Linked DNA regions of Saccharomyces cerevisiae S288C. The gene in region 1 interacts genetically with each later gene. Each region holds a gene or a part of one and is shown in the gene's direction. Other genes may lie near its edges.

The links.
Region 2: of RCE1 (region 1) and STE14, changing one enhances a phenotype caused by changing the other (phenotypic enhancement), as found in Saccharomyces cerevisiae (one study listed by BioGRID).
Region 3: mutations in RCE1 (region 1) and SLY1 together harm fitness more than expected from each alone (negative genetic interaction), as found in Saccharomyces cerevisiae (2 studies listed by BioGRID).
Region 4: of RCE1 (region 1) and ECM9, a mutation in one rescues a mutant of the other (synthetic rescue), as found in Saccharomyces cerevisiae (one study listed by BioGRID).

What each region holds. Positions count from the first base shown.
Region 1 is NC_001145.3:811,707-816,978, reverse strand, and holds RCE1 (CAAX prenyl protease), read left to right. Parts: upstream 1-1,667; coding exon 1,668-2,615; downstream 2,616-5,272. Other genes in the region: ubiquitin-ubiquitin ligase BUL1, read left to right, coding at 1-1,328; ZDS1 (Zds1p), read left to right, coding at 2,999-5,272. UniProt on the Saccharomyces cerevisiae protein: Protease involved in the processing of a variety of prenylated proteins containing the C-terminal CAAX motif, where C is a cysteine modified with an isoprenoid lipid, A is an aliphatic amino acid and X is any C-terminal amino acid.
Region 2 is NC_001136.10:1,290,540-1,296,091, reverse strand, and holds STE14 (protein-S-isoprenylcysteine carboxyl O-methyltransferase), read left to right. Parts: upstream 1-3,000; coding exon 3,001-3,720; downstream 3,721-5,552. Other genes in the region: ERD1 (Erd1p), read left to right, coding at 1-494; rRNA-processing protein RRP17, read right to left, coding at 692-1,399; DFM1 (Dfm1p), read left to right, coding at 1,698-2,723; SUMO ligase SIZ1, read right to left, coding at 3,972-5,552. UniProt on the Saccharomyces cerevisiae protein: Mediates C-terminal methylation of the isoprenylated C-terminal cysteine in A-factor mating pheromone and Ras proteins.
Region 3 is NC_001136.10:835,287-841,912, forward strand, and holds SLY1 (syntaxin-binding protein), read left to right. Parts: upstream 1-3,105; coding exon 3,106-5,106; downstream 5,107-6,626. Other genes in the region: SND1 (Snd1p), read right to left, coding at 1-206; chaperonin-containing T-complex subunit CCT6, read left to right, coding at 1,135-2,775; RVB1 (RuvB family ATP-dependent DNA helicase pontin), read right to left, coding at 5,318-6,626. UniProt on the Saccharomyces cerevisiae protein: Able to suppress the functional loss of YPT1. SLY1 is essential for cell viability. May interact indirectly, or directly with YPT1.
Region 4 is NC_001143.9:446,299-451,024, reverse strand, and holds ECM9 (Ecm9p), read left to right. Parts: upstream 1-2,988; coding exon 2,989-3,214; intron 3,215-3,318; coding exon 3,319-4,226; downstream 4,227-4,726. Other genes in the region: mitochondrial 54S ribosomal protein mL50 MRPL13, read left to right, coding at 1-602; YKR005C (uncharacterized protein), read left to right, coding at 858-1,004, 1,074-2,504; oxysterol-binding protein OSH6, read right to left, coding at 4,298-4,726. UniProt on the Saccharomyces cerevisiae protein: May be involved in cell wall organization and biogenesis.

The sequences.
Region 1 (5,272 bases):
ACGGTGCAGACTTGAGTGGTACCATTGATGATTCTATTGAATCAGACTCCCAAGAAATTTTGCAGAGGAAATTGGACCAACTGCACATTAAGAACAGAAATAACTATTTAGTCAACTATAACGATTTGAAGTTGGGCCACGATTTGGACAATGGCCGCAGTGGAAATAGTGGTCATAATACCGATACTTCCAGAGCTTGGGGTCCCTTTGTTGAAAGTGAACTAAAATATAAACTGAAAAACAAATCCAATTCCTCCTCATTTCTGAACTTCTCTCATTTTTTAAACAGCAGTTCCAGCTCAATGTCCTCTTCCTCAAATGCGGGAAAGAATAATCATGATTTAACGGGAAATAAAGAAAGGACAGGGCTAATACTAGTAAAGGCGAAAATTCCAAAACAGGGCCTACCATATTGGGCTCCCTCATTATTGAGAAAGACCAATGTTTTTGAATCTAAGAGTAAACACGACCAAGAAAATTGGGTGAGATTGTCTGAGTTGATTCCGGAAGACGTAAAAAAACCATTGGAAAAACTTGATTTACAATTGACTTGCATAGAATCCGATAATAGCTTACCTCATGATCCGCCAGAAATTCAATCGATTACCACAGAACTGATATGTATAACTGCTAAATCTGATAATTCTATCCCAATAAAACTCAATTCTGAACTGTTGATGAACAAAGAGAAGCTGACAAGCATCAAAGCTTTGTACGATGATTTCCATTCAAAAATTTGTGAATATGAAACCAAGTTCAACAAGAATTTTCTTGAATTAAATGAGTTATATAATATGAATAGGGGAGACCGTAGGCCAAAGGAACTGAAATTTACAGATTTTATTACTTCACAGCTGTTTAACGATATCGAAAGCATTTGCAACTTGAAAGTTAGTGTTCACAACTTATCCAACATTTTTAAAAAACAGGTCAGTACCCTAAAACAACACTCAAAGCACGCATTATCTGAGGATTCAATATCGCACACAGGTAACGGTAGTTCATCGTCGCCCAGTTCAGCGTCATTAACGCCAGTAACTTCTTCATCCAAGAGTAGTTTATTTTTACCTAGCGGTAGCTCGTCTACTTCCCTGAAATTTACAGACCAGATTGTTCATAAATGGGTTAGGATTGCTCCTTTACAGTACAAACGAGACATTAATGTGAACTTGGAATTTAATAAGGACATTAAGGAAACTTTAATTCCAAGTTTTGAAAGCTGCCTATGTTGTAGGTTTTATTGCGTTCGAGTAATGATTAAATTTGAAAACCATCTTGGCGTAGCGAAGATTGATATCCCTATTTCTGTTAGGCAAGTGACAAAATAAAAAAACATTAGAAAAAATTCTCGTTACTTTTCTTATAGATATAGATATATGTATGGTTTGCTTATAGATGAAGGTATTTATCGCGTCCTTTGTATTCCCTATTATTAATAAAATTCTTTTAAAATGCATTTTCTGGTGCTCTTTTGTTGCTTCTGTATTTTTTTTTTTTTGGACCACTGGATGGAAAACCTTTGATGATTTTATTACCTTTATTTTAAGTTACTAAAATATCGAGATTTCAGGAACAAAACATAGAATTTTCTTTGTCAAGAAAAATAAAACGAAATAAATTGATGCTTTGACTACTGACTGTCTGTCATAGAGAGAACCAGAACAGCAATGCTACAATTCTCAACATTTCTAGTGCTCCTATACATCTCCATATCCTATGTGCTACCGCTATATGCAACTTCACAACCAGAAGGGTCTAAACGAGATAATCCTCGAACGATTAAATCTCGCATGCAAAAACTTACAATTATGCTAATTTCCAACCTTTTTTTGGTGCCTTTTTTACAATCTCAATTATCTAGTACCACTTCACATATAAGTTTCAAGGACGCATTTTTAGGCTTAGGTATTATCCCAGGTTATTACGCTGCATTGCCAAACCCTTGGCAATTCAGCCAGTTCGTGAAAGACTTAACGAAATGTGTTGCGATGTTATTGACCTTATATTGTGGACCCGTTTTAGATTTTGTATTATATCATTTATTAAATCCAAAGAGCTCTATACTTGAAGATTTTTACCATGAATTCCTGAATATTTGGAGTTTCAGGAATTTTATATTTGCACCAATAACTGAGGAAATATTTTACACGTCAATGCTTTTGACTACGTACTTAAACCTAATACCGCATTCGCAACTAAGCTATCAACAGTTATTTTGGCAACCATCGCTTTTTTTTGGACTTGCGCACGCACACCATGCTTATGAGCAATTACAGGAAGGCTCCATGACAACTGTTTCCATTCTGCTGACAACATGCTTCCAAATTTTATACACAACACTTTTTGGAGGGTTAACCAAGTTTGTATTCGTAAGAACAGGCGGGAACCTATGGTGCTGCATAATCCTGCATGCCCTTTGCAATATCATGGGGTTTCCTGGTCCTTCAAGATTGAATTTACATTTCACAGTAGTAGACAAGAAAGCTGGACGCATTTCCAAATTGGTCTCAATCTGGAATAAGTGCTACTTCGCACTGCTGGTCCTTGGATTAATATCCCTGAAGGATACCTTACAAACTCTGGTAGGAACTCCTGGTTATAGAATAACCCTTTAGCCTTTTTTACGTACTTGTATACCGTTTAAAATTTCCTATGTACTATAACCTTTTTTCACTACTATTATGGAATTCTATCGAGCGACCGGGCTTTTGTTACGGAAGAGTGAAAAAATCGAGTTTTGGTGTTTTGGTGAAAGAATTTGGAGGACTATAAAGTACCTATACTTTGTATTACGGACTCAATAACAAGTCGTTCGTGTCAGTGGTATTGAAGTTGTCAGATCTAAGAGTAGAGAGAAGGTGGCATCTAATAGGTTTCGACGTTTTTCTTTTTTTAAGGTTTTTATTTGGTCTCCTAGAATTTAAGGTCTTAGTTAGTTTTGGTTTGTTTTGTGGGTTACATATTTTCAATTCAAAGGAGAATTTAGCTGTCTTTTATAATGTCCAATAGAGATAACGAGAGCATGCTGCGTACTACATCAAGCGATAAGGCGATCGCTAGTCAAAGGGATAAACGGAAGTCTGAAGTTTTGATTGCTGCACAGTCCCTTGACAATGAAATCCGCAGCGTAAAAAACCTAAAAAGATTGTCGATTGGGTCAATGGATTTACTTATTGATCCAGAATTAGATATAAAATTCGGTGGGGAATCTAGTGGGAGACGATCATGGTCTGGCACGACATCCAGTTCTGCGTCAATGCCAAGTGACACAACCACCGTTAATAACACACGATATAGCGATCCAACTCCGCTAGAGAACTTGCATGGGAGGGGTAACTCAGGGATAGAATCCTCCAATAAGACTAAACAAGGTAACTACTTAGGTATAAAAAAAGGTGTTCACTCTCCATCCAGGAAATTAAATGCTAACGTATTAAAGAAAAACTTATTATGGGTTCCCGCCAATCAACACCCTAACGTTAAGCCTGATAATTTCCTAGAGCTTGTACAAGATACTTTACAAAATATACAACTAAGCGACAATGGTGAAGATAATGATGGGAATAGCAATGAAAATAACGATATTGAGGATAATGGGGAGGATAAAGAATCACAATCATATGAAAATAAGGAGAACAACACTATCAACTTGAACAGGGGGCTGTCAAGGCATGGAAACGCGTCACTAATACGAAGGCCTTCAACATTGCGGAGGTCATATACAGAGTTTGATGATAACGAAGATGACGATAATAAGGGAGACAGTGCCTCTGAAACAGTAAATAAAGTCGAAGAAAGAATCTCCAAAATAAAAGAGAGACCAGTGTCGTTAAGAGATATAACTGAAGAACTGACAAAGATCTCAAATAGTGCAGGACTAACCGACAATGATGCCATTACATTAGCCAGAACTCTTAGTATGGCTGGTTCATATTCAGATAAAAAAGATCAACCACAACCGGAAGGGCATTATGATGAAGGAGATATTGGTTTTTCAACTTCACAAGCGAATACTTTGGATGATGGTGAATTTGCCTCCAATATGCCCATCAATAATACCATGACATGGCCTGAACGATCGTCACTGAGAAGGAGTAGATTCAACACTTATCGAATCAGGTCACAAGAGCAAGAAAAAGAAGTAGAACAAAGTGTGGATGAAATGAAAAACGACGACGAAGAACGTCTAAAATTGACCAAGAATACAATAAAGGTCGAAATAGATCCGCACAAATCCCCTTTTAGACAGCAAGATGAGGATTCTGAGAATATGAGTTCGCCTGGGTCAATTGGTGATTTTCAAGACATTTATAATCATTACAGACAGTCTAGTGGCGAGTGGGAACAAGAAATGGGAATAGAGAAAGAAGCCGAAGAGGTACCCGTCAAGGTTCGAAATGACACAGTAGAACAAGACTTAGAGTTAAGAGAGGGAACAACAGACATGGTAAAGCCAAGCGCAACGGATGACAACAAAGAAACGAAGCGACATCGTCGAAGAAACGGATGGACATGGTTGAACAATAAAATGAGCAGAGAAGACGATAACGAAGAAAACCAAGGGGACGATGAAAATGAAGAAAACGTGGATTCACAAAGAATGGAGCTCGACAATTCCAAAAAACATTATATTTCTCTATTTAATGGCGGTGAGAAGACGGAGGTGTCAAATAAAGAAGAAATGAACAATTCAAGTACTTCCACCGCCACATCACAGACAAGACAGAAAATCGAGAAAACTTTTGCGAACCTATTCAGAAGAAAGCCACACCACAAGCATGATGCATCATCATCACCCTCGTCGTCACCATCATCGTCACCATCAATACCAAATAACGATGCCGTGCACGTTCGCGTGAGGAAAAGCAAAAAGCTTGGTAACAAAAGTGGAAGGGAGCCGGTTGAACCCATTGTGTTGCGCAATCGCCCTCGTCCTCACCGTCACCATCACAGCCGTCATGGTTCCCAAAAAATAAGCGTAAAAACCCTTAAAGATTCTCAGCCGCAGCAGCAGATACCATTACAACCACAATTGGAAGGCGCAATAGAGATAGAAAAGAAAGAGGAAAGCGATTCCGAGAGCTTGCCCCAACTACAGCCGGCCGTTAGTGTAAGTAGTACCAAAAGTAACTCTAGAGACAGAGAAGAAGAGGAGGCAAAGAAAAAGAACAAGAAGAGGAGCAATACGACAGAAATTTCCAACCAACAACACTCCAAACACGTCCAAAAGGAGAATACCGATGAGCAAAAAGCTCAACTACAAGCTCCAGCT
Region 2 (5,552 bases), on another chromosome or scaffold:
TGGTAAGACTACTGCAGTGTTTGAGAGAATACCGTTTACTGCACGAAGCAACTTTACTATTCAATGCATTGAAATACAGTTGTAATCTTCCCATTCTTTTTTGCACCTGGAGATCAAGAGTGTATGAGGGATCCATCAACGAAGAAAGACTACACCACGTTCAAAGATGGTTTATGCTAATTAATTCTTCCTATACGTTATTTTGGGATGTAAGGATGGATTGGTCATTGGACTCGTTAACCTCTTTAAGATCCAGATCCAAAAGTGCCGTCACATTAAAGAAAAAAATGTATCATTCGGCGATTCTCGTTGACTTTTTGCTGAGGTTCTGGTGGCTATGGGTATATTTATCGCAGAATCTGAAATTAGTTGCCGCAGATAGCGACTACATTTTTTTCCAAGGCGAAATGCAGTATTTCGAAGTAATTAGAAGAGGCATATGGGTCGTTTTCAAATTGGACGCAGAGTATTATATTAAGTTTGCAAGCAAATAATTTGTTGGGCAAGCCATATAAAATCATGCAAATGCTGTAAATATTTGTTCTATTTTCCCCGTAGAATGGTTTATTCGATATATTACATATAATAAACGAAAAATACATATGCACAGTATATACTTTTCCAAAAAAAAATCAAACACTGTTTGAGCGTCAAGAAACCCCAGGCGGTGCCCGACGATAATGCGACTGCATTATCTCCTACGCTTGTTGTCGTTTGCCTTTCTTTGGTTTATTCTTCGTTCATTTTTGGTCAAATATCTGAACTTTTTTACTCTTGGCTTCTTCTTTTGTTTCTCATCCACGCCCAGAAACTTCGCGTATTTGGTGGCTCTATTTATGCTTTGTTTGAGTACTTTTTCTGCCTTTTCTAATTTGACATTATTTAGCTGGGCTAAATATTCAAAGTTATCATTGGGTTCCAATGTCTCCAATTCAACAGTAGTTGAGTCATCGTATATTTCCGTGATTGCTCCTTTCTTCAAAATAGGCTTTACGCTACTTTCATTATTGTCGTTATCGCCGTCATCTTTATCAGAATCAAACCCGTGCCAGGATTCATCAGATTCTACCTGCAAATCCTCCGTCTTATCATTTTTCGCATCCTCTATCTCAGCTTCCAAGTTTAAACTCTCTTTAAACGTCTTTAACTGTTCTTCCATCACCTCCTTACGTTCCTGCCGAATCTTCTGTCTTTCTTCAATTTTTCTAAGCCTTTCCTGCTCCTTAATAAACTCTTGTGCTTTCTTTTGTCTTTGAAGCTTTCTCTTGTGAAAGCCAGTCAGATAATCCAAACGAGAATCCTTGTCGAACGTCACCTCATCGGTACCGAATTTCTTTGATTGCTTTGTAGCATAGTTTTTGCCTCTTGTAAGGATTTGCCTATTGGTGTGAACAGCCATAGCAAAAATCGAAAACCTTTAATTCACCCCTCTTGATTCGAGCAGCTACCAGGAACTTGAATATTGCAACTCTCTATTTTTTATCTGCTATTATCTGCTGCTTTGCAGAATCGATCCTCATCACATTTGAAAAATTTCAAATGTGAAAAGTCCCTACTTACCCGTTCGCGGCTCATGAAATCGTGTCCTCTTCAATATAAGACAAGAGTATCAAACAAAGGATATAAGGCAAAATACAACAAATTACCAGTGAATTCCGCATTTCCAAGTCAAATCAAAAACTATTTTCGAGGAAATAATGGCAGGCCCAAGGAATGTGCGTACATTACATGGAAATGGAGGCCGTAATAATGATGTGATGGGCCCAAAAGAATTCTGGTTAAATATCCCCCCAATAACAAGAACTTTATTTACTCTAGCGATCGTTATGACGATCGTCGGCCGGTTGAATCTAATCAATCCGTGGTACTTTATTTATGTTTGGAATTTGACGTTCAAGAAGGTTCAGATATGGAGACTTCTTACTTCTTGTGTAATGCTTTCGTCTCGTGCCATGCCTGCGCTAATGGAACTATATAGTATTTATGACAGGTCCTCACAGTTGGAGCGAGGGCATTTTGGTCCCGGTTTGTCCAATAGACGAGGACCGATGGTAACAGTAGACTATGCCTACTACCTGTGCTTTTGTATACTAGCCATCACTACGGCCACTACAATCATTTATGGGTCCTACTACCCTGTTGTGCTCACCTCTGGGTTCATATCATGCATTACATATACTTGGTCGATCGACAATGCCAACGTGCAGATCATGTTTTATGGTTTGATTCCTGTTTGGGGGAAGTACTTCCCCTTAATTCAATTGTTTATCTCTTTCGTTTTTAATGAGGGTGATTTCGTAATCTCATTGATCGGTTTTACTACAGGGTACCTTTATACATGCTTAGATACCCATACACTGGGGCCAATATGGGGGATGATATCCAGAAAAGCTGATCCAACCTACGGAATCTCGCCCAATGGGAAATTCTCAACGCCATGGTGGTTTACTAGTCTATATGCTCGCATAACGGGTGCCCACAATGAAACTGCAACATTCAACAACAACTTTGCCAATGTGCCATCTTCGCAAAGAGAAACGAGAACTTTTAGTGGAAGAGGTCAACGATTGGGTACGGCCCCTGCAACATTGTCTCAAACCAGTGGCACAGATTCAGGCAGAGCTTCTGGAAGTCAATTAAGAAGTGGCCCATCGAATTTGAACCAATTTCAAGGCCGCGGCCAACGAGTAGGACAAACAAACAGCCCCTCCGACTCACAATAACAACTTTTATCTATTTCTATGTACTTTGCCATTCATTATATACATCAAGAGAGTCTGACATAGTATTTTCGTTGGCATAGCAACCGATTGATAATGAAACATCACTCAAGACGAATTGACAAATGGGCCACTATGGTAAAACAATTCTTTACATGATACCACCAGTATATAGAAAGGTTCTCGTGTTGATGAATTATATAAGAAAGTGAAAATCGATTTCAAGATAATTACTCTTTTTACCTCCTCTTTCATTGTGGTCACCGTTTTTGAACACAACATGCACCAAGATTTTCAAGAAGACGAGCATGAGTATCCAGACATCAGACGCAATCCGCTGCATGAGGTGACCATGACTTCCTACATACTGGGGATTCTTTTAGGTATATTTGTTGGTCTTTTTCCACAAATTAGATTCAAGAATTTTAACCTCTTTATTATTGCCCTGTCCTTATTCCATTTTTTGGAGTATTATATTACAGCTAAATACAATCCTCTTAAGGTACATTCAGAGTCCTTTCTTCTGAACAACGGCAAAAGTTACATGGCGGCACATTCCTTTGCTATTCTGGAATGCCTCGTAGAAAGCTTTCTTTTTCCTGATCTGAAAATTTTTAGCTACTCTCTAGCTACCAAGCTTTGTACAGTACTTGGATGTCTTCTAGTTATTCTGGGACAATATACCAGAACTATTGCTATGCATACTGCGGGACATTCCTTTTCTCATATTGTGAAGACCAAGAAGGAGTCCGATCATGTTTTAGTGAAAACTGGCGTTTACTCCTGGTCAAGACATCCAAGTTATCTTGGGTTCTTTTGGTGGGCAATTGGCACTCAGCTACTGCTTCTAAATCCCCTATCATTGGTTATTTTCATTTTTGTACTTTGGAAATTTTTCAGTGATAGAATTCGTGTGGAAGAAAAATATTTGATAGAGTTCTTTAGCGCGGAATACATAGAATACAAGAATAAGGTTGGTGTCGGAATACCTTTTATATAATAGTAATGATTGTGTTAGTTATGGACTGGATTTTTGTGTTATGTAAGATTTTATCTAATCTTGTGCATCTGTATTTGGTAGGTAATAAATGCTAGGGGAATGCAAACAGTGATATTGCCTTTGAGTATTGAAAAGAAGAAAATATTTCTTTTTCGAACGGAAAATTATAGAAAATGAAGGTCATATGCACAATTACAAAGAAAATATTTCATGAAAGAGCTGGACGGAACCGTCCAATTTTAGCCTCGTTTTTAACCACTGTTGTATTTCTTTCCATAATCTTGCGTTTTCCATGTACCCATTATGGGTGAAGTTGAGGATGTATTAGAAAGTTGTCTTTTTTGGGGCAGTACATTAGAGTAAGGCCTCCTTGGAATGAATGGATTTACAATGAGTCTGGACTTCTGCAACGGTATGGTTGCAGTGTTGGGAGGATTGGGGACACTGTTTTCATTGTTTATCAAAGGAAGCCCAGACTTGTTAGAGTTTGTACGAATTGGGACGTTCTGGGGCAACGTGGGAAGTACAGGCGTAGAATTTTGTCGCCCGACGTCATTCCTCGTGATTGCTTCTGTTGTTGGTAGAGAGTTATTCCTTTGATCAAGCCCATTATTCGACAAAATAGTTGCCCCACGCAATGTTGAATCAGGGAATCTTGTGGTATTCAAACGTGGATCATTAAATCTTGAGTTCACGGTGGAAGGAAAGGACATATCCATATTCTGTTCACGTGGTGGAAAAACTGAAGATTCTTGAGGCTGGACAAATGAATCTGATATCGATGCAGTATAACTGTTGGAATTTATGGGAGGCCTTATTGTTTTATCGGGAACAGTGGATCCCCTGGGATCTAATGAACTCATTCTTATTAAGGGAGGGGTACTGAGAGCGCTCGAACTTGCATTTGAAGCGGTGTTTCTTGGCGTTGGGGATGATACGCTAACATCTGGAGAGATTAAGTGGGATGAATTATCAACAGCAGTCACATTTAAAGGCGTTTTTCCCAGAATGTTCGGCAATTGTTTACCAATATAACTGGAACTGTTTCCGAGGTACTCAGGAATAACCCTGTTTGTCACCGGAGTAGTAGTTTCTGAAGCAACTATGTTATAACTTTTTGGATCCAGGGTTCTCGAGGGTGCACTTGAACCTTTTTCAGTTAGAATATCTGTATTAGTACTTTTAAGGTGATTGCTAGTTATTTCCGCCATAAGTCGATCATCATCATCGTCATCATTATCGTTCATTAAATTTTTAGTATGATTATGACTGGGAGTATTACTGCGACTACCATGATCATGTTTATTATTACTATTACTATCATTATTTTCGATACTATTATTATTATCATTATTATTATTATTGTTATTATTATTATTATTATTATTTTTATTATGACTATCATTATTTTTGATACTATTATTATTGTTATCATTACTATGCCTGTTGCTATCATCATGATTATTAGTAACATGAGGATTATTTCCATTTGGTTCGTCATCATCACTATCGAGATTTATGATAATCGGTTCACTTGGATGTGAAGAAGAACAATGATGATCCGATACTGAAGTACCTTTTTCTGGGCTTCTACTACCATCATTGCTGTCACTGTCGCTGTCATCATCGTCTTCCAATATGGCTGTCCACTTACCATCAGAAGTAAGTTCTACCTGTTCAACGTTTTTTTGACAGTTCTGTAAAATGTCATCAACAAATTCGGAAATTGCTAAATTTTCCAAAGCTATATCAATTTGACATACTGGGCATTGCCACGTAGGAATTTGTAGTTGGGAGTGTAGGAACCATAATGCATCAAAACATTGCAGATG
Region 3 (6,626 bases), on another chromosome or scaffold:
ATATCTATGTAAAGTAGGATGTTAAGCTTCTTTAGCGAAGGGTACCGGTCCGCCAAAGACGCTTGTACCACTGTCTGCTGCATGTTGGAGTAAGTGATCAGAAACAGCGAGTCCTGTGACTTCACACTAACTTTTGGTGAAGTGGACTGGGCAAAGCGACGCTCATTAATGCTCGCGGCTGCTGCGTCCGTACCGACAGTGTCCATCGTAGTGTAGGCTTCCCAAAATTTAGGATGTGATTAGTAATAGTGGTTGATTGCGAGCTCCGGGATGCGAGGGAGAGCGTGTATGTGTACTTCAAGTTCGCCAACTTCTCTCTTAAATAGAAAAAGAAAAGAAGAAAAAGGAAACGAAAAAAAAAAAAAGTAGGGAAAAGCTGAGTGATGAAGATCCGGGCTGCCAAGATTGGGTTTGAAACGTGTAGTCAGCTACAAACCAAAAATTAAAAGAACAATAGCAAAGAACCTTAGTAGGAAAACAATAAAATAATAGACACGACACCCGTAGAAAGATAGAACGGGACGAGGGGCCGGTTCAACAACTATCATACTTTCTTGTTCAACAACGCGATTAACCCAAATAATAAAAAAGCTACGAGACAAGAACAGACGAGGCAATACGAGCAACGAGCGCAACGAGAACGGTAAGCATGGCAACGGCGCGCACACCCACGCCCCGCAACCGCACACCTCAGCTCAAAGTAACCCACTTTAACGTGACTGGACCTGAGCTGTCTGACTCGGTCGTTTGCAAATAGGTTAACGCCGTCGCTTCTCCCTTTCGTGTACCGTATATCTTTCTTTAATTGCATTCCCTTGTTGTGATTATCGTTTCCCATTGCAGTGAGCTTTCATTTTGGGGACCCTGGGAGTAGGCTGTTTTTCGATAGAGTGAGAGGTGTGGGTTCTGCGGCAGAATGGATACGGGCCGTGGATCACTGTTTACGGGAGTTTTGCTTTGGTGGCAAAATTTTCGCTCGGTGATGTGTTAGTAGTTGTTATTCTGGTAAGAAACGAACGAAAGACGGAAAGGATTATGTATAACAGTGTATGTGTGCAGTGTGTGGAAAAGGTAAAGGTTAAGGGTGTGGAAGCAGTGAGAAGCAGAAGATTATAATATAAGTAGAGTAGAAGCATGTCATTGCAATTGTTGAATCCGAAGGCTGAATCGTTGAGAAGGGATGCGGCTTTGAAGGTTAACGTCACATCTGCTGAGGGCTTACAATCCGTCCTAGAGACCAACTTGGGCCCTAAGGGCACGCTAAAGATGCTTGTGGATGGTGCTGGTAACATCAAGCTGACCAAGGACGGTAAAGTGTTGCTGACCGAGATGCAGATCCAGTCGCCTACAGCGGTACTGATTGCTAGGGCAGCTGCCGCGCAGGATGAAATCACGGGCGATGGGACCACGACGGTTGTGTGTCTTGTGGGTGAATTGCTTAGACAAGCGCACCGTTTCATTCAAGAGGGCGTGCATCCGCGGATCATCACTGATGGGTTTGAGATTGCGCGGAAGGAGTCCATGAAATTTTTGGACGAATTCAAGATCAGTAAGACGAACCTTTCCAATGATAGAGAGTTCCTTCTGCAAGTGGCCCGGTCGTCGCTGCTAACCAAGGTGGACGCTGACTTGACGGAGGTCTTGACGCCCATTGTAACGGATGCGGTGCTAAGCGTGTACGACGCGCAGGCTGACAATTTGGATTTACACATGGTTGAGATCATGCAGATGCAGCACTTGTCTCCTAAAGATACCACTTTTATTAAGGGTTTGGTATTGGACCACGGTGGTAGGCATCCTGACATGCCCACCCGTGTGAAGAACGCGTATGTTTTGATTTTGAACGTATCTTTGGAATACGAGAAGACTGAAGTTAACTCTGGGTTCTTTTACAGTTCTGCGGACCAAAGGGACAAGTTGGCCGCTAGTGAGAGGAAGTTTGTGGATGCCAAGTTGAAGAAGATCATCGACTTGAAAAACGAAGTTTGTGGCATGGATCCAGACAAGGGTTTTGTTATCATTAACCAAAAAGGCATTGACCCCATGTCTTTAGACGTGTTTGCCAAACACAACATCTTGGCTTTGAGAAGGGCCAAGAGACGTAACATGGAAAGATTGCAATTGGTCACTGGCGGTGAAGCTCAGAACTCTGTGGAAGACTTGTCGCCTCAGATTCTTGGGTTTTCTGGCTTGGTCTACCAAGAAACCATAGGCGAGGAAAAATTCACATACGTTACAGAGAACACTGACCCCAAGTCTTGCACCATCTTAATCAAGGGCTCCACTCATTATGCCCTCGCTCAAACAAAGGATGCGGTGAGAGATGGTCTCAGAGCTGTGGCAAACGTTCTCAAGGACAAAAACATCATTCCAGGCGCTGGTGCGTTCTACATCGCCCTTTCGAGATACCTAAGATCTGCCAACATGAACAAGTTGGGTGCCAAGGGTAAAACAAAGACAGGTATTGAGGCGTTCGCAGAAGCATTGCTGGTAATTCCAAAGACTTTGGTGAAGAACTCAGGATTCGACCCATTGGACGTGCTCGCAATGGTGGAGGACGAGTTGGATGACGCTCAGGATTCTGACGAAACGAGATATGTTGGTGTGGACTTGAACATAGGTGATTCTTGCGACCCTACCATCGAGGGTATTTGGGATTCCTACCGCGTACTAAGAAATGCTATTACCGGTGCTACAGGTATTGCCAGCAACTTGTTATTATGCGATGAATTGTTAAGGGCAGGTAGATCCACTTTGAAAGAAACACCACAGTAATAAAAAATAATAATAATAATAATAATAACAAGAACACGAATACTAGTAGTAATAGTAGTCAGATACAAAAATTCTATGTAACATATTTTTTCCAGTCACTATCATCATCATCATATTTTGTATATATACATTTATTATATAAAATATCATACCAATTTTTGCCAAAGAACACCGTTTCCCTCTTCGCGTTGACCACAGTAATTGCAGAAACGACAAAAAAAAAACAAAAAAAAGAAGCACCATTCTAACTCAGCCTTTAATAACCTGACATGATAACTTATAATAGTCATTGCCAGTTGCTAAGTATCTTTGACCAAAAATCACAACATCATGGCTGTGGAGGAAATTGCGTCCCGCAAGGACATTAGTTTAAGAGATATGCAAATCTCTGCCATATTAAAAATGCTGTTTTTAAATAAGGATTTGAACAACAACGACAACATCACCACCATCACAGACGATATTTTTAACCAGCAGGAGATCATCTGGAAGGTGTTGATACTGGACATCAAGAGCACTGCTACCATATCTTCTGTTCTCAGAGTCAATGACCTGCTGAAAGCTGGTATCACCGTTCATTCCTTGATTAAACAAGACAGATCTCCCTTGCCAGATGTCCCTGCCATATATTTCGTCTCCCCCACAAAGGAAAACATTGACATTATAGTCAATGACTTGAAAAGCGACAAGTATTCTGAATTTTACATCAACTTTACCTCATCTCTGCCCAGAAACCTCCTGGAAGATTTGGCTCAACAAGTCTCCATCACGGGTAAATCTGATAAAATCAAACAAGTTTACGACCAATACCTGGACTTCATTGTAACTGAACCGGAACTGTTCTCACTAGAAATTTCAAACGCATACTTGACATTGAATGACCCGAAAACCACAGAAGAGGAAATCACGGGCTTATGCGCCAACATCGCGGACGGTTTATTCAACACTGTCTTAACGATCAATTCTATCCCCATTATAAGAGCAGCTAAGGGTGGGCCTGCTGAGATCATCGCTGAGAAACTGGGTACAAAATTACGTGATTTCGTCATCAATACCAATTCCTCCTCCACTTCCACTTTGCAGGGAAATGATTCTCTGGAAAGAGGAGTGTTGATTATTTTGGATAGAAACATAGATTTTGCCTCCATGTTTTCACATTCGTGGATTTATCAGTGCATGGTCTTTGATATTTTCAAATTATCAAGAAACACCGTTACTATTCCACTTGAAAGTAAGGAAAACGGAACTGACAATACCACCGCAAAACCATTAGCCACGAAAAAATATGATATAGAGCCAAACGATTTTTTTTGGATGGAAAACTCTCATTTGCCATTCCCAGAAGCTGCAGAGAACGTTGAAGCGGCATTGAATACGTACAAGGAGGAAGCCGCAGAAATTACTAGGAAAACTGGTGTTACCAACATATCAGATTTGGACCCAAACTCGAATAATGATACGGTTCAAATTCAGGAAGTCGTAAAGAAACTGCCAGAGTTAACAGCTAAGAAAAATACTATTGATACACATATGAATATTTTTGCTGCATTGTTGTCACAATTGGAAAGTAAAAGTCTTGATACTTTCTTTGAAGTTGAACAAGACCCTGGAAGCACCAAAACAAGATCTAGGTTTTTGGATATACTAAAAGATGGTAAGACAAACAATCTTGAGGACAAACTGAGATCGTTTATTGTTCTTTACTTGACATCAACGACAGGCTTACCAAAGGATTTTGTCCAAAATGTGGAAAACTATTTCAAGGAAAACGATTACGATATCAATGCTTTAAAATATGTTTATAAGCTAAGAGAGTTCATGCAATTATCAAATATGTCGTTACAAAATAAATCTTTGGAAGATGGATCCGATTCCGCTTTCAAACCAAGCAACTTAACATTATCCGGTATCTATGGCTTAACTGAAGGCAAATTACAAGGAGGTGTAGGAAGTTTAATATCAGGTATTAAGAAGTTACTGCCTGAAAAGAAAACCATCCCGATAACAAATGTTGTTGATGCGATAATGGACCCTTTAAACAGCTCTCAAAAAAATTTGGAGACTACTGACAGTTACCTATACATCGACCCAAAAATTACAAGGGGTTCCCATACCAGAAAGCCAAAAAGACAATCTTATAATAAGTCACTAGTGTTTGTAGTTGGTGGCGGTAACTACCTAGAATATCAAAACCTCCAAGAATGGGCACATTCCCAGTTGCATAATCCCAAAAAAGTCATGTATGGTAGCACAGCCATTACCACACCAGCTGAATTCTTAAATGAGATTTCTCGCCTTGGCGCAAGTAATAGCAGCAACAACGATGCATAATTGGCATCTAGCCCCAATGACGATACACTAATATATATATATATATATATATCTATATATCTGCAAGAAATAAGCGTGTGTAGTAAGTAAAAGGAAAAATAGAAATTTTTGCTCAAAAATAACGGTCCCATTTTGATACAATGTTTTTGGTTTAGTGATTTGCGTAATATTTATTTTTATTTATGAAATGTGCTTTAGGCTTTCTTCACTGTTACAAATAATTTGCGGAAGTTTCTAAAATCTTTGTTGACCTTTTGGCATCCAAAAACAGCAATTTGGCTTCATTAACGTCATTAACAACAATTTCCTTACGATTGCTTGTTTGTGCTAGGATACCACATGGTGCCAATAATTGTAAAGCGTAACGTAACGAAGTTTCTGTACCCATCGTGGCTAAAAGGTCCAATGCGCTACTTTCTACTTGCAATCTTTCAACGGTAGCTCTTCTCTCTATAATGGTACGGATCTCGTCCTTGTCATATGGTAATGTACGAACAATTAACAATCTATCGATCAAATCAGGTGGCACACCATGTGGTGATATCACATCCTCAGTGCCACGGACTGTAGTCATGCCCCTATTAGAAGCCAATACAACAACGGGGGCGATATTAGATTCAAGCGCTTTGTTCAAATACGTGAATATTTCAATGTCTAGCATATTAACTTCATCAATGAACAAAACACCTGGAATAAGTTCTGCGACACCTTGATCAATATATTTAGCAACAACTTTATTCACCTCTTGTCTTAATTTCTCGGTTATTTCAGTCTTCTTAGGTTTGAGCAACTGGCCCATCATTGATATGACATCTTGACCACCTTGTGGTCTTGCGTTTGCAACATCCAAATCGTGCAAGGTAACATCTTGTACAATTTCCTTTTTCTTATGCACTTCGCCTTTTGGCAATGGTACGTATTCCTCAGTTTCCAAATCAAATTCAGTAGCGTATGCATCAGATCTGCCAACTCGCTTAACTGCACCGGTGTTGGCCTCTATATAAATGACATCACCAATACTAACCTTTTCTCTTTGAATACTTTCATATATCGTTGGGTCTAATCTTAGTGTCTTGGTACCCTTGGCAGACTTGAGCCCGACAATTACATGTGAGATAGTTTTACCATATCCGCCCAACGGATTCTCTGCGTCTTCAGGGGTTAGTTCTGTCACTTCACCCTCATAAACTTCCTTAGTTTCTTTGATTCTTAACCCAATTGCTCTTCTAAAATTTTCCATTAGGGTTTCTGTTTTTTTGACCTCCACGGAATATAATTCGCTACCAACAAGAGGACAGAATGGAACTTTTGGGCCTAACTCTTGTGAAATGGCGAGAGCCAATGCTGTCTTACCTGTAGAAGGACCACCAGCTAATAGGATAGCTCTACCTGACATTTTTTTAGCCTTGATTAAATCTACAATTACACCGCACGCTTCACGAGCTTCTATTTGTCCAACAAACCCTCCTTCAACCCTCTTGGCCACACCACTTTCATCCAGACCTAAACCTTTAATATGT
Region 4 (4,726 bases), on another chromosome or scaffold:
TTGAAGAAGGCACTAACGAGGCTTCCTCTCAATCCTCTTCCAATAACAAAAACAGATTGGAGCTAATACCAGAAAATTTTATTGGCGAAGGGTCTAGACGGTGTAAGAGACAGAAGGAGTTGAAGCTTGCGGTCTCCTCTGCGCCATTCAATCAGTGGTTATCCAGGGATAAGATTACGTCTGATAATCAGTTAGATGATATGATATTGCAGGCAACGGAAAAAACATTGGGCAAAGTAGACCAGGACGTCCAATTCTCTGATTTGGTAGCTAAATTTCAGTTCACCAAATTTTTGCAATCTAAATCTGGCTATCTAATTCCTGATTATGAACTGACCACTTTAAGCACACCCTTGCAGTTTAAAAGGTATATTAAGGAAAAAATTTTGCCATCTGCCAACGATCCTAAACTCGCTTATAAAGAAGCTGAGCCAAATGCTATCCACCCATTTTCTGATAATTACGCGTCACCAAACATATATGTTGTTAACGATGTTACTTCTAAAGAGCAAAAAAGTAAATATGATACTATTATGAAAGAAATTCAAAAGTTAGAGGATGATGCAACAAGAAAAGCTTTGGAAACAGCAAGATCCGCTTAGCTTATGTTAATACTATTATTACTACTATCATTACATTTTAATATCCTGTACATATATATACTCTTTGAAGAAGTTTGGATTTTTCTTTCCCATTATAGATCACTTTTTTTTTTTACCTTATCTTTTCTGTAAGTTCTTTTTGTGGCTATATTTCCTCTTTGGCGGCTAACTCAAGAAGCAGTAAGGGAATAATTCGTTACACATTACAGCTAGCTAAAATCATCAAGAGGCAGGAACACACGAGATATACTGATAATGTTGGAATGTCTAAGCGCTCTGCTGGTTCTCTTTGCCGGTGGTGGTGGGAGCGTTCTCGCAGCGGTTCAAAGCAAAACTGTGGCAGATCCTAACTTATGTCCAGGTTACAATTCACAACTGATTTCCCCCTTCCTCTCCAGTTGCGTATGTACAACAAATTTACCGAGGTACTAATATTCTCTAGATTTTATTACTGACAAGATCCATGTGAAGAAACGAAATTTAAGTGAATGCGTGTCCCGTTATTTTGATGAACAATATGCATTTTGTCGGTCATGCGTTACTGTGAATAATGAAACAATGGAGGACTTGGATAACTGCAAATGTTTACAGTGTGCCTTGAGTTCCCTTAATAATAGCTGCTTTCACGATTACTGTACCTCCAAAGATGAGTATGACAAGTTGCAGATCGTTGTTGAACAATTTCAATTGACAAATGGAGTTTTAGATGACGGAGAGATTTTGAAACCTAGAGGCAACAAATTTTCTAGTAGAAAATTGTCTTATTTCGTTGGTCAAAACAATACTCTTTTTAGGAACCCTTTGCAGTTCGAAAAAAACCAATTAATTTCTGCACTATTAACCTCTTTAACCAATAATCAAAAGACTATATCATCAGTTGACATGTTCGAAGTGGTTGACGCTAATAATGAAGTTCAATATTTGCGCGAAAGAACGATAAGTGGTAAAACTCTGTCTCCAGCTACTGGTTATGAAGAAGAAAACGACGGTGACTGTAGTGTGAAAGATAAGAAGTGGGAAGGTAAAATCGAATACCATGAGAACAAGAAAGTTAGTTCTGAAAACTGTAGTAAGGATACCGATGATAAAAGTGGCAGTAAAAAAGAACGAAATACGAAGGCCCCATTATTTCACACTGCCACCGAAATTCATATGACAAGGTGGAGTTCTTGGAGGCCAAAGAAAATTTTTACTCGTTACTTAGTGAATGAATACCAAAGTCCTAAAATAATAACCACAGTGAACAGGTTTTACAGGACCAAGACTGATACTGAAACAGGGACGACTTTAATCACGTCGACAAAAGCCAAAAGAAGATGGTTTCCAAGAACTAAAATCGTAACAAGTACCGCAACTTCGACGTTTTTGAGTATCACGACTACTACGACAACAAATGCTATCGCAACGAAGTCGTTAGTAGCAGTACTTAATCCGGATGGATTGAATAAAAAAGCGGGAATAAATTTTGGTCTCTTTAGCGCTAATGGTGAGCTCGCTTCACCAGATGAAGGAGGTACACCAACAGTAGTAAGAAGAGATAAGATTTCTGATCCAGGCGCTGCTAATGAGCAGGCCACACTGTTCTCTACAACCTTTTCGCAAGTGCCGCACTTACCAGAACTAGATTCTGGTGAATTCATATCGGCGGCATCTCAATTAGACAAAAGGATTTTCATATTCACTGCCATCACAGTATCAATTACTACATTGATGATGTTGGGGTTTTCTTACCGGTCGCGGGTATCTTTTAGAGATCATAGTATCGATGACTCAGATGATGATAACGATTGGTCAGATGACGAAGTTGAATTTGACGAAGAGTATTTCTATTCTCTTCCTGTAAGCATACCAGAAAAGGGGATCAGCTTAGATAAAATGGCGCAACAACTTGGTGTAGAATAGTCATGAAACCATTGCGCTCTTTTTTCTTTACCGATATTATTTATGCACGTTGCTCATTTAATTCCTTTCAATCACTGATTCGTTTCACGATGTTAGATGATGCTATTGACTGTCCTCCAATTATTTGTTTCACAAGGATAATAGTACAAACTTACATAGCGTTGATAGTAAATAGGCTTCGTCTTTATAAGATATATACAGCTATTAATACACATTCGTTCTCCTGATCACGGTCTCAGTAAAGAAAATATTTTTTATAGGCTTCCGGCAGTTTTATAACTTCACATTATTTGACTAAGCAATTGTTCCATTTTCTCCTTTCCTTTTTATGTTTTGTTCTTGATTTTAATACTACATTTAGTTCAGCTCTTTTTCACTTATTTTTGCACATGGAAGATCAAATACATGAAAAGTACACAAAAGAACAAACAAAAGCCAAACAAAAAAATGCTAAAAGGAAACGCTCAAAACAATTGTTGAAGTTATGCAATCTTCTCTTCCCCTTTGCAGAGAATTTTTTGAAAAAATAACTGCATATTTAGATTATCATGATTTCAGGTTAACCATTACTGCCAATCAGCCTTCAATTACTCTCCCTTACTACGTAGACGAAAAAGCCCATTCCATAGAACTAATTATCTTCAAAACAACATTTTTATCTCTTTTCCAAGAAGCACATACATATTTTAACAAAACTTTCTCTGATCAAAGTATGTCTCAACGGTAAAATACAAAAAACTATTGCTATTTTACAATACGCATTTTGGATTCATTGTTACGGCTACTAACAATTCTACATATTGATGTAAATTAGGCGGCATTTCTAATGAGAATATTTATTACATGACTGTTGGATTTCTACTTACAACACCTGAAAACAAAACGGTATATAATGTACACGAAGATTTACTCAAGAGATACTTCCAGGACAACAGTGTTTTAGTAATACCGGATTTATTGGTCAAAGAAGTAAGACTGATTCAACGGCTTCTTTGTTCATCAAACAATCGTATCAACAAGTCGTCATCTCTTTGGATATTATACCGAAAACTATTCGTTTTATCTCTTGATGCTAATACACTGGTTCTTCCAGATATTTTATTTGTATTTCATTCTTCTGGATCCCAACATTTCTCTAATTACTACTGTTGGAATACTGCTAGGTGGTTCTACGATAATTTACCTTACAATAAAAGAATTGAGCTCTTCAATTTGACTAAGAGATTTTGCTTTCAAAATGTTAAGGATTGTTCCTCATGGAGCGCATTAGCATATATGGTATGCCAGCAGGAGGAAAAAAAAACCGATAATATACGTGATTTTCAAAGACTAACAAGCTCTTTTAATGTTCCGTTCAAGATAAATAAAGTGGATTTGAATTTTCAAGTACAGCCTGCGGATGCATTTACTCAGGAATTAGTAAAATGGATTGATCGAACGTATGCTGCAGATTGGCCTCCATATCTGTGTCTTCTGCAAATTACGAAATTTAATATCACCCTTAGAATTGAAATGGACTCTGTCTTATTGACTTGGAGAAATGAAATTCTGAATTTTGAAGAGAACAGTGGTCATATCAAAATGATAAATAATACTCCAATAGTACCTGAGAAATTTTCAAACGATCTTCTAACTTCTGTGAATTTTGCACATTTTGGCTATAAAAAGCTTTTCTTAAATAAGTTTTTGGATAAAAATAAGAAAGAACAATCAGATAGTTAGAACAAAAAAAAGAAAAACATATAAAAAAACTAATCTATAATTTACAACAAATATCATATCCAACATATACACTATTGTTTTGCTGGGTTCTGCTTTTCGTTTTCAATCATCTTCTTTTGTGATTTTATTTTCTCAAATGCGGGGATGAAAAATTTGTCGGTAAATTGTTGACCAGGTAAAATAGGTGCTATTTGCAATATGCTTCGTATTTGCTTCTCAGGGTCCTCGTCGACAGGGATATTTTTATAAATACAATAGTCAAGATCTTCGCCAGGCTTTGATCTTCTAAACAACTTTGGATGAAATTCTACGCCATCTTCAATGCGTTTTTTGGCTAACTGTCTTTGGTGATCTTCAATCTGAAATTTTTCTTCTGTCGCAACAGGATGATTGCGAACGGCCAACGCATCTGTAACCTTTTTCCACAGTTTTCTGGATTCATATTCACCTTGCTCGCTCAATGGCCGAACTTTTGGTCTCAATGGTGACTCTTTATGAGT